Arabidopsis thaliana: one gene and its partner. The protein of the gene in region 1 purifies or fractionates together with the protein of each later gene. This does not show direct contact. Each region holds a gene or a part of one and is shown in the gene's direction. Other genes may lie near its edges. The genes, in order: MYB28 and NIG1.

Region 1 (4,812 bases):
CAAAACAAGAGTGACAACAGTCAACAGGAAAGAATAAATAAATTGTCGAAAATGCTAGAGATCACATAACTGTGGTTTTGAGTGGATAAAGCAACCTGTCCAAGTATAAAATTTACGTCACTAGAAAAAAGTTAGGACACAAAATAAAATGTAGAGCAACTTGTTTTGCAAAATGATAGTGGAGAATAAGATAAAACCGCAACAAAAAAAGCTACAAAATCACGAAGAGTTAGAAGAATTGAAGCAATGTAAATGCTCGGAAGTGAGTCGTTGCGAAAATTTAGGTTTGTAAAATGAAGGATTATGGTGAGTTTTAGTTTGCAAAATAACTAAAATATTATGGGACCAAGGAAATAATCAAGAATAAGTGAAGATACACTATGGGACCGTTTAAGTAGGTTGACATATATAACTGACTGGAACCAGCGGATCTTAGGGATATAATCAATACTTATTGACTAAAATTTTCCCAAAAGAAAGAAGAATCAAATGATTACTCTATGTAGTAACCCAAACTGATCCTAACAAAATTGTAGAAATGCAGATGGTTTAAATATGTGGCGCTCTCATAAAACTCCTACTTCAGGTAATCTTTTTACACAGTTTGGAGCTATCGTAGCTCTTAACATTTTCACTCCAGCAATGACTAGAACCAACAGAACAATGAGAGATTGGCTTCTATCCATAGAAAGCTTCAACACGAAAACCGACCAAAACGAAATGTTAAACCCAAGCCTTCTTCAAGCATAGCTGTATCATATTCTATCTTCCTTGTAAGAGTTCCTTTTGTTAAAAACTAAATACTAAATCCGACTTAAAGAATAATAATCAAGAACTTCAAAATAGCAAAGTAAAATATACACACGCACAAATTGATAAGAGTTCACTTAGCTTGCAGTACGAGAACTAGGCAGGGGCAGACCTAGCTTAAGAGTGTAGGTGTGGCAGGTGTTTAATTATATAGAATTTACTTTGTGGCACTAACATATTTTTGTTTTATAATGCAAAATAAGATGTTAAATTTGATTAAATTTATATACAATACAAGTTTGTGTTCTATGTAAAATATTTTTCTAGATCAAACAAGGTCTAGTTTTAAACGATCCATGGGAGTATAAATTTTATCTTTTTCACTCTACCTTGAAAAATGCGCATGAGATAAAATCATAGGTACATATACATACGTGAAGAATAGCATCAGAAAATATTGTTCTAACTATTCCGATAACTAACAAAACCTTAGGAAACCTCATCAAGACTAGTTCGAATTAAATCATAAGGTTTAGGTTGAGAGAGTCAAAGAGGGAATGATATAAATAGAAGAATATTTTTTGTTTAAGAATGATTTTTAGACAATGGAAAGAAGAATATGTTAAGGTGGTATAGACGACGAGCAATAATACAACAGCCACAAAAGTGGCAAACAAAAAGGACCTACGCTGGAAAAAAAACACGTGATGTTACAATCACCCTTTCATTCTCAATGATGAACAATAATGTTTATTATTGATAAGAAAAACAATAATGTAAATTTATACTTTCTCGTTAACCAGATTTGTTTTTTCATTATGCGTTTGCAGTATAAAAATAGTAAAATACGTTTTAAGTATTAAACTGTTTGATAGTTTTTTTTTATATATATACCTAACAGAAACCAACTATTTAAACAATACAAAAATATCTGCAAAGATATATATATAATACAATCGAATTCTTAAAAGTTATATATATTTGCAAACGTCCCTTTAGTTATTCCCCTCCAACTCTCCATGTTGGATCAATCATTCAATTTTTTTTTAATAACCAAAAGTTAAATGTACAAATATGCAAGAACCTACAGGTACGTTTACGTGATATATAAATTAAAATATTGCATCTCGTACCGAAGCGCATTACCGTATTTAAAATACCTGAAAGTAGGAAAATATAGTACTATACAAACACCACTTTTCGGACATTATTTTCATAGAAAAGTTACGAATTATCCTTTTTAACTATTGATCTATTTAAATAATTTACTAACCATAACTATCTTGTTACGTTTTCACAAAAAAAAAAAAAAAAAAATCTCATTACGTACGTGTATATATATGGAATAGCTCATAACCTCACCACTACCACAGAAATCATGCCTCTTGGTTCTTTTCCATAAGCTTATAACATATATTTTTTTTAAAATCTACTCTGCGTTAAAAAAATGAAAACACGTAGCAGCAGTGTGGGTAAGATCAAAGGGTGTTTCTCGATCAGTTTCATATTCAGATGTATCAGAGTTCTCATTAACAGATCTGTTTCTTTTTCCTTATCTGATTAAACAATTTCCTTCAGAATTTTACTTTTTTGAACATATATAGTTTTTCTCTGTTCCTATATCTTGAGTTTTGTGAGAGGTTAATTATATGAAATTTTACGCATTATTGTTCATCTATATCGAAAAACAATGTCAAGAAAGCCATGTTGCGTCGGAGAAGGCTTGAAGAAAGGAGCATGGACCACCGAGGAGGACAAGAAACTCATCTCTTACATCCACGACCACGGCGAGGGAGGCTGGCGCGACATTCCCCAAAAAGCTGGTTTATACAAATCTATACATACACTCATTTTTGTACTTGTTGTAGAAAATTGTTCTGATAAACATATTGTGTCTGATTAGGGTTGAAACGGTGTGGAAAGAGTTGTAGACTGCGATGGACCAACTACCTTAAACCTGAGATCAAAAGAGGCGAGTTTAGTTCAGAGGAAGAGCAGATTATCATCATGCTTCATGCTTCTCGTGGCAACAAGTACGTTTCTATGTTTCTATGTGTGTGCGTGGACCCTCGAATGTGAAATGAATTTCATGAAAAAGTTTTCATATAATATTTATTATGTAGACATAATCATCATTTTAATCTTGGTCTCCGATCTATCTTATTTTCTTTAGGTGGTCGGTCATAGCGAGACATTTACCTAGAAGAACAGACAACGAGATCAAGAACTACTGGAACACGCATCTCAAAAAACGTTTGATGGAACAGGGTATTGATCCCGTGACTCACAAGCCACTGGCTTCTAGTTCCAACCCTACGGTCGATGAGAATTTGAATTCCCCAAATGCCTCTAGTTCCGACAAGCAATACTCCCGATCGAGCTCAATGCCTTTTCTGTCTCGTCCTCCTCCATCCAGTTGCAACATGGTTTCCAAGGTCTCCGAGCTTAGCAGCAATGATGGGACACCGATTCAAGGCAGTTCCTTGAGTTGCAAGAAACGTTTCAAGAAATCAAGTTCTACATCAAGGCTCTTGAACAAAGTTGCGGCTAAGGCCACTTCCATCAAAGATATATTGTCGGCTTCCATGGAAGGTAGCTTGAGTGCTACTACAATATCACATGCAAGCTTTTTTAATGGCTTCACTGAGCAGATTCGCAATGAAGAGGATAGTTCTAACACATCCCTGACAAATACTCTTGCTGAATTTGATCCCTTCTCCCCATCATCGTTGTACCCCGAACATGAGATCAATGCTACTTCTGATCTCAACATGGACCAAGATTACGATTTTTCACAATTTTTCGAAAAATTCGGAGGAGATAACCACAATGAGGAGAACAGTATGAATGATCTCCTTATGTCCGATGTTTCCCAAGAAGTCTCATCAACTAGCGTTGATGATCAAGACAATATGGTAGGAAACTTCGAGGGATGGTCAAATTATCTTCTTGACCATACCAATTTTATGTATGACACCGACTCAGACTCGCTTGAAAAGCATTTCATATGAGTCTTCATATCCAAACAGAAAGGTTTCAAACTATTCGACGACTTAAAATAATGGTTCTGTACCCAAGGTTAGTCGATTACTAACTCGCTCGAACGAGATATTGTGTATGTATTAATTAGTATTTGGGTTGTTTACTATATGTCCAAGGCGTGTTTATTACGATGTTAAACAAGGGTTAATCTTAACACTTAAGTTTCCCCAAGAATAAATAAAATAGGGTTTGAGTTAGGGTTTCTCTTACATTGAGAACCATGCATGTAACCTCGCGAATCAATTGGTAATTGATTTGTGCGGGCCACGATGTTTATACTAATATTTCTTTCTAAAGCTTGTTTTATTTATCTTATTTCGTAGTAGTACTTCCCATTATAATCATCAGTGCCCATAATAGTCATCAATTATGCTCTTTTTGGTTTTTATGCTCTTCTTTATATGATTAAACTCATTTATTGTTTACAACTTTACATGGCATCAAGTCATCAACGATTCAACGTAGTGGTATAGTGATACCTTTCGTTGGATTTGAACCGACCACAACATCTCTCTTTCCGATAAATCCAATTACTATTATTGTAGAATTTAATAAGAAATGTGTGAAAGTAATGAAAAATAAAAGAAAAACAAACAAAAAATGCTCAAACGAAAAAGACGTTGCAATAATAGTGTATTTGTGTGGTCAATAAACAATTTACATGAAAGCCAAAAGATCACGAGGTGAAACAGAAGTCTAATTGGATTTACAAATCTTGTCTAAACACAAAATCGAATCTTAATAATAATGTAATTATATTATAATATATAAAGTATTTATGTGCATATTATTTGAATTCGCTCTAGCAGTCAAAGAATTAGAAATAAATTATTCGATTTCTAATTTTCACTTTTTAAATGATTTTTAATTCTTTATTTCAATTTTTTCGAATGATATTGTATAATTTTATGTGGTTACCACACACAAAAAAACGTAATATATAGTGATATAGAAACATGATTTCATATATTAATACACTCATTGATTCCAAATAAAGAAAAAAACGATAAGAATTAAGAT
Region 2 (4,595 bases), 5.7 Mb from region 1:
TTGAAAAAATGTCTGAAAATTCGAACCGGAAAATAGTGTGGTAAACTATCTACACTTACACAAACAAATTCCTATCAATTCAAAAATAATTTGTGTTAACACAAATAAGATTGTTTCAACAAAATAAAAAGCTTAAGGATGTGATCTTACAAATTAAGTACCCATTTAAAAATGAAGAAAAAGACATTAATGTTGTTAAATAGGATGTGGTGTTAACTTGTCAGTTGCTCCTCCCCACTTTTTCTTGGTCTCCTTATCATTATGCAAGCTCTTCCTTCCACATAAACCCAATAAAGATATGAAATTTGAAAGAAAAAAAAACAAAGATACAAAACAGTGTAATTTCAGATTTTTGTTGTTACATTAATCACTTTAAGTTCAAAATTATGCAACTCTTTTGTCAAATGTCAATATCTAGCATTCACGGCTCCGTCAATAGATTGCGTCATTATTTAAATTTTACAAAATAACTCCATTAAAAAATATAGAAACACAGAATCAATGTTAAGCTTCACCATTACACATAAAAACTAAAATGTCTATTTAAAATCATCATGATGGGGTGCGAGATTAAAGGATTGCATTGCTAACTTTGCCTCTTTACGTTACTTTGGTTAAACCCAATTGTTAAAAGGGAGAAATCGAACATTGGTTATTTGACTTTTGAGTATATTAGTATCAAAATGTATAGGTAATAATGAAAAAAATGAGGAAGTGCAGTGCAACAAAGTCCATTGACATTGTTTTGTTAACCTGATCCATATAGAATTAAAGAGTGATAACAAAAGAAAAAAGAAGAAGAAGAAGAAAGAGTGATAATTTTTTTTTTTTTTTTTTTTTTTTGAAAGAGTGATAACATATATGGGTGAACTAGGTGTATAGCCATAATTGAACAAAAATTAAGAATATAGCCATATAATTTACGTAATTCAGCAAGTAACCAAAAACTCTAACTAATTACAAGTCTATCCCTGCATTATTTCCCTATTTTCCAATTTGCCATGACTCATCATCTTCTTCGTTTTGTTGATCAGATATTGATCTAAAGGTAATATTCCATATGTTCTAAAGGTAATGGATTGTGAATCAGATATTGATCTAAAGGTAATGTTTTTTTAACAGACCTTTTTCATTCATCATCTTCTTTGTTGCTTCTTCTCTTCTCTCCAATCCAACAAAAAATTTCCAGAAAATTTAACTTTTTTATATCAATCCATTCTAATTTAAAAACATCTATTGATTTAAGAAAACTAAACCCTAAGATACTATATATGGAACCCAAACAAAAATAATTAAACTAAATGAAATCATCTCAAGAATCAGTTTTTAGAAATCTGACAAAATCATGTTTATATACTTTTAATCTCTTTTCTCCTTTCCTAAAGCGAATTGAAATCGATTCGATTTTGGGTTTAAATTTGTGTTAGGGATTTTCAATTTTAGATATTGATCAAACCAGAAAATATTCAATAAGATCTTGTGAGTCTTCGTTTTCATTTTTTTCCGTTCTAACTAGCAAATAGAATGGTACAAAATTGAAAGTAAAATAGAAAACTATAGTTCGGTTCTGTTTTAATTAAGTTAAAGTAGAAAAAAAAGATAAGAGGCGAGAGAAGTGAAACAAGCAATGGAAGAGAGGAAGAAGTGATTAAGGTGGTGGTGGTGTGTATGGTGTAGGTCGTAGTAATATTTGTGTTGGTGGTTGCAGTGGTCGTGTGTCAATTGCGGCGGCAATAATGGTGATGGTGGTTGAGATGACAGCGTAATGGTAGTTTCTATGGTGGTGACGATTGCAGTGGTGATGGTGATGATGGTATGACATTTGTGGAAATAATGGTGGATGCGATGATGATGACGGTTGCAAGGGTAATGGTTGTAATAGCATAAAAAAGATGGTGATTGTGTAGATAAGAGTACTTTAGTATATATTATAGTTTATATACAAAATATCATCTCTGTTTTTGTTGTTGGTTAGTTTCTTAATTATAGTTTTTTTGTTAGTCAATTTTGCAAATTTCCCGACATATAATCGTGTTTCATTCAATCCATTTTGTTCAACGACGAAACAATCCCGTTACCTAGAAAAATGTGGTCCTTTTACCTGGTGATAGGTGATAGTGATACATCAGCTATCGCACATGGGTCGTTAAAATTCATGAAAAGAAAACCACAGAAAAATGTAATATTTTCATGCACTCGTGTGAAACAAAATAAAGAGTACACTCTATACTCTATAGTTTCTCGTTTAGTTTAGATATATAAATACAAAGACTTGAGACGACTTCTAATACTCCGGCAACGATGATTAATACCGACGATAACTTATTGATGATCGAAGCTCTCTTGACCTCCGATCCGTCGCCACCATTACTTCCGGCGAATCTCAGCCTCGAGACTACTCTCCCGAAGCGTTTACATGCTGTGTTGAATGGAACCCACGAGCCCTGGAGTTACGCCATTTTCTGGAAACCGTCGTACGATGACTTTTCCGGTGAAGCAGTTCTCAAATGGGGCGACGGAGTTTACACTGGTGGCAACGAGGAAAAGACACGAGGGAGGTTGAGGAGGAAGAAGACGATTCTGTCGTCTCCGGAGGAGAAAGAGCGTCGGAGTAATGTTATTCGGGAGCTTAACTTGATGATCTCCGGCGAAGCGTTTCCGGTGGTTGAAGACGACGTCAGTGATGACGATGACGTGGAAGTGACGGATATGGAGTGGTTCTTCTTGGTTTCCATGACGTGGAGTTTTGGTAACGGATCCGGGTTAGCGGGTAAGGCGTTTGCTAGCTATAACCCGGTTTTGGTTACCGGTTCGGATCTGATTTACGGGTCGGGTTGTGATCGGGCTAAACAAGGAGGGGATGTAGGGTTACAGACCATCTTGTGTATTCCTTCACATAACGGAGTGTTGGAGCTTGCATCCACGGAGGAGATCCGACCAAATTCGGATCTTTTTAATAGGATCCGGTTTCTTTTTGGAGGATCCAAATATTTTTCTGGAGCCCCGAATTCGAACTCGGAGCTTTTCCCATTTCAGTTAGAGAGCAGTTGTTCAAGTACTGTAACCGGTAACCCGAATCCTAGTCCGGTTTATCTACAGAACCGGTATAATTTGAACTTCTCGACGTCATCTTCCACATTGGCGAGAGCTCCATGCGGCGATGTACTGAGTTTTGGCGAGAATGTTAAACAGAGTTTTGAAAATCGGAACCCTAATACTTATTCTGATCAGATTCAAAACGTCGTCCCTCACGCGACGGTGATGCTGGAGAAGAAGAAGGGAAAAAAGCGCGGGAGAAAACCGGCGCATGGTAGAGACAAGCCTTTGAACCACGTGGAAGCAGAGAGGATGAGACGTGAGAAGCTAAACCACAGATTCTACGCATTACGAGCGGTTGTACCAAACGTATCGAAAATGGACAAAACGTCGTTGCTCGAAGACGCGGTTTGTTACATAAACGAGCTGAAATCAAAAGCTGAAAACGTTGAATTGGAGAAACATGCGATTGAGATTCAGTTCAATGAACTCAAGGAGATTGCAGGACAACGAAACGCAATTCCTAGCGTTTGTAAATACGAGGAAAAGGCATCAGAGATGATGAAGATCGAAGTGAAGATTATGGAAAGTGATGATGCAATGGTTAGAGTTGAATCAAGGAAGGATCATCATCCAGGAGCGAGATTGATGAATGCTTTGATGGATTTGGAGTTAGAAGTGAATCATGCGAGCATTTCTGTGATGAACGATCTTATGATACAACAAGCGAACGTGAAGATGGGGTTGAGAATCTACAAGCAGGAAGAGCTTAGGGATTTGTTGATGTCGAAAATTAGCTGAGAGTTTCTGCGGTGTGTTTTGAGAAAATTAATCATGGGGTCAAAGTGTAATTAAGTTTTGTTGATTTTCTCATAAGTTAATGGCCGTTTTATTAGATTTTGGATAATATACAGTTCTAATCTTGTGACCCAAAATTAGGGGGACTTATTGCAAATGGTCAACCCTGGAATGAACGAGATGAACACAAACACAAATGGTGCTTGAATTCTTTTTTTTTTTGTTTCCTCTTGTTTGTTCATCTTACTAACATGAAAAAGATGAATATTTATATTTTGCACTTTCAGCCCAAATGGTAAAAATTTGGGTTGAATATATTTTTGAGAAAAATCCAAAAAAAGATTATTGCACGTTTAATATCCAAACTTTTTTGGTTGGAAGGAAAATATACATAGTTTAATTAAAACATATAATTTAATTTCTACAATTTTACTCAAGATCTAATAACAAAAGCAAAATTCTAGTTTTACTCTTACCATCTCAATTAATTTATAATTGACATGGTATATTTGATTTGAATAAAAATTATTTTTTGTTGATAGGTTGTTTTTATTAAAATTATTTTATTTTGACTACCAAAATAAAAATTAGAAGAAAATCTTTTTAAAAAAATCTTCAACTTTCCTTTTTTAAAACACACCCTTTAATAGATAAAATTAGGGTTTTTGGAATGAAATGTTGAAGAAGATCAAAAAATTTAGATTTTTTCTATCCCAATTTAAGTGGGTGAGTAAGACAATACATTTCTTGCTATCCTTTTG

The links.
Region 2: the proteins of MYB28 (region 1) and NIG1 purify together in Arabidopsis thaliana (affinity purification with a luminescence readout, with the first as the bait; one study listed by BioGRID). This does not show direct contact.

The regions. Positions count from the first base shown.
Region 1 is NC_003076.8:24,688,424-24,693,235, reverse strand, and holds MYB28 (myb domain protein 28), read left to right. Parts: upstream 1-2,048; 5' UTR 2,049-2,440; coding exon 2,441-2,573; exon of another isoform or gene 2,574-2,653; coding exon 2,654-2,783; intron 2,784-2,923; coding exon 2,924-3,761; 3' UTR 3,762-4,167; downstream 4,168-4,812. UniProt on the Arabidopsis thaliana protein: Major regulator of short-chained aliphatic glucosinolates (GLSs) biosynthesis. Together with MYB29/HAG3 and MYB76/HAG2, promotes aliphatic glucosinolate biosynthesis but represses indolic glucosinolate biosynthesis.
Region 2 is NC_003076.8:19,000,418-19,005,012, forward strand, and holds NIG1 (calcium-binding transcription factor NIG1), read left to right. Parts: upstream 1-2,146; 5' UTR 2,147-2,301; coding exon 2,302-3,837; 3' UTR 3,838-3,967; downstream 3,968-4,595. Other genes in the region: AT5G46825 (uncharacterized protein), read left to right, coding at 1,628-1,644, 1,709-1,762, 1,797-1,866, 2,002-2,082.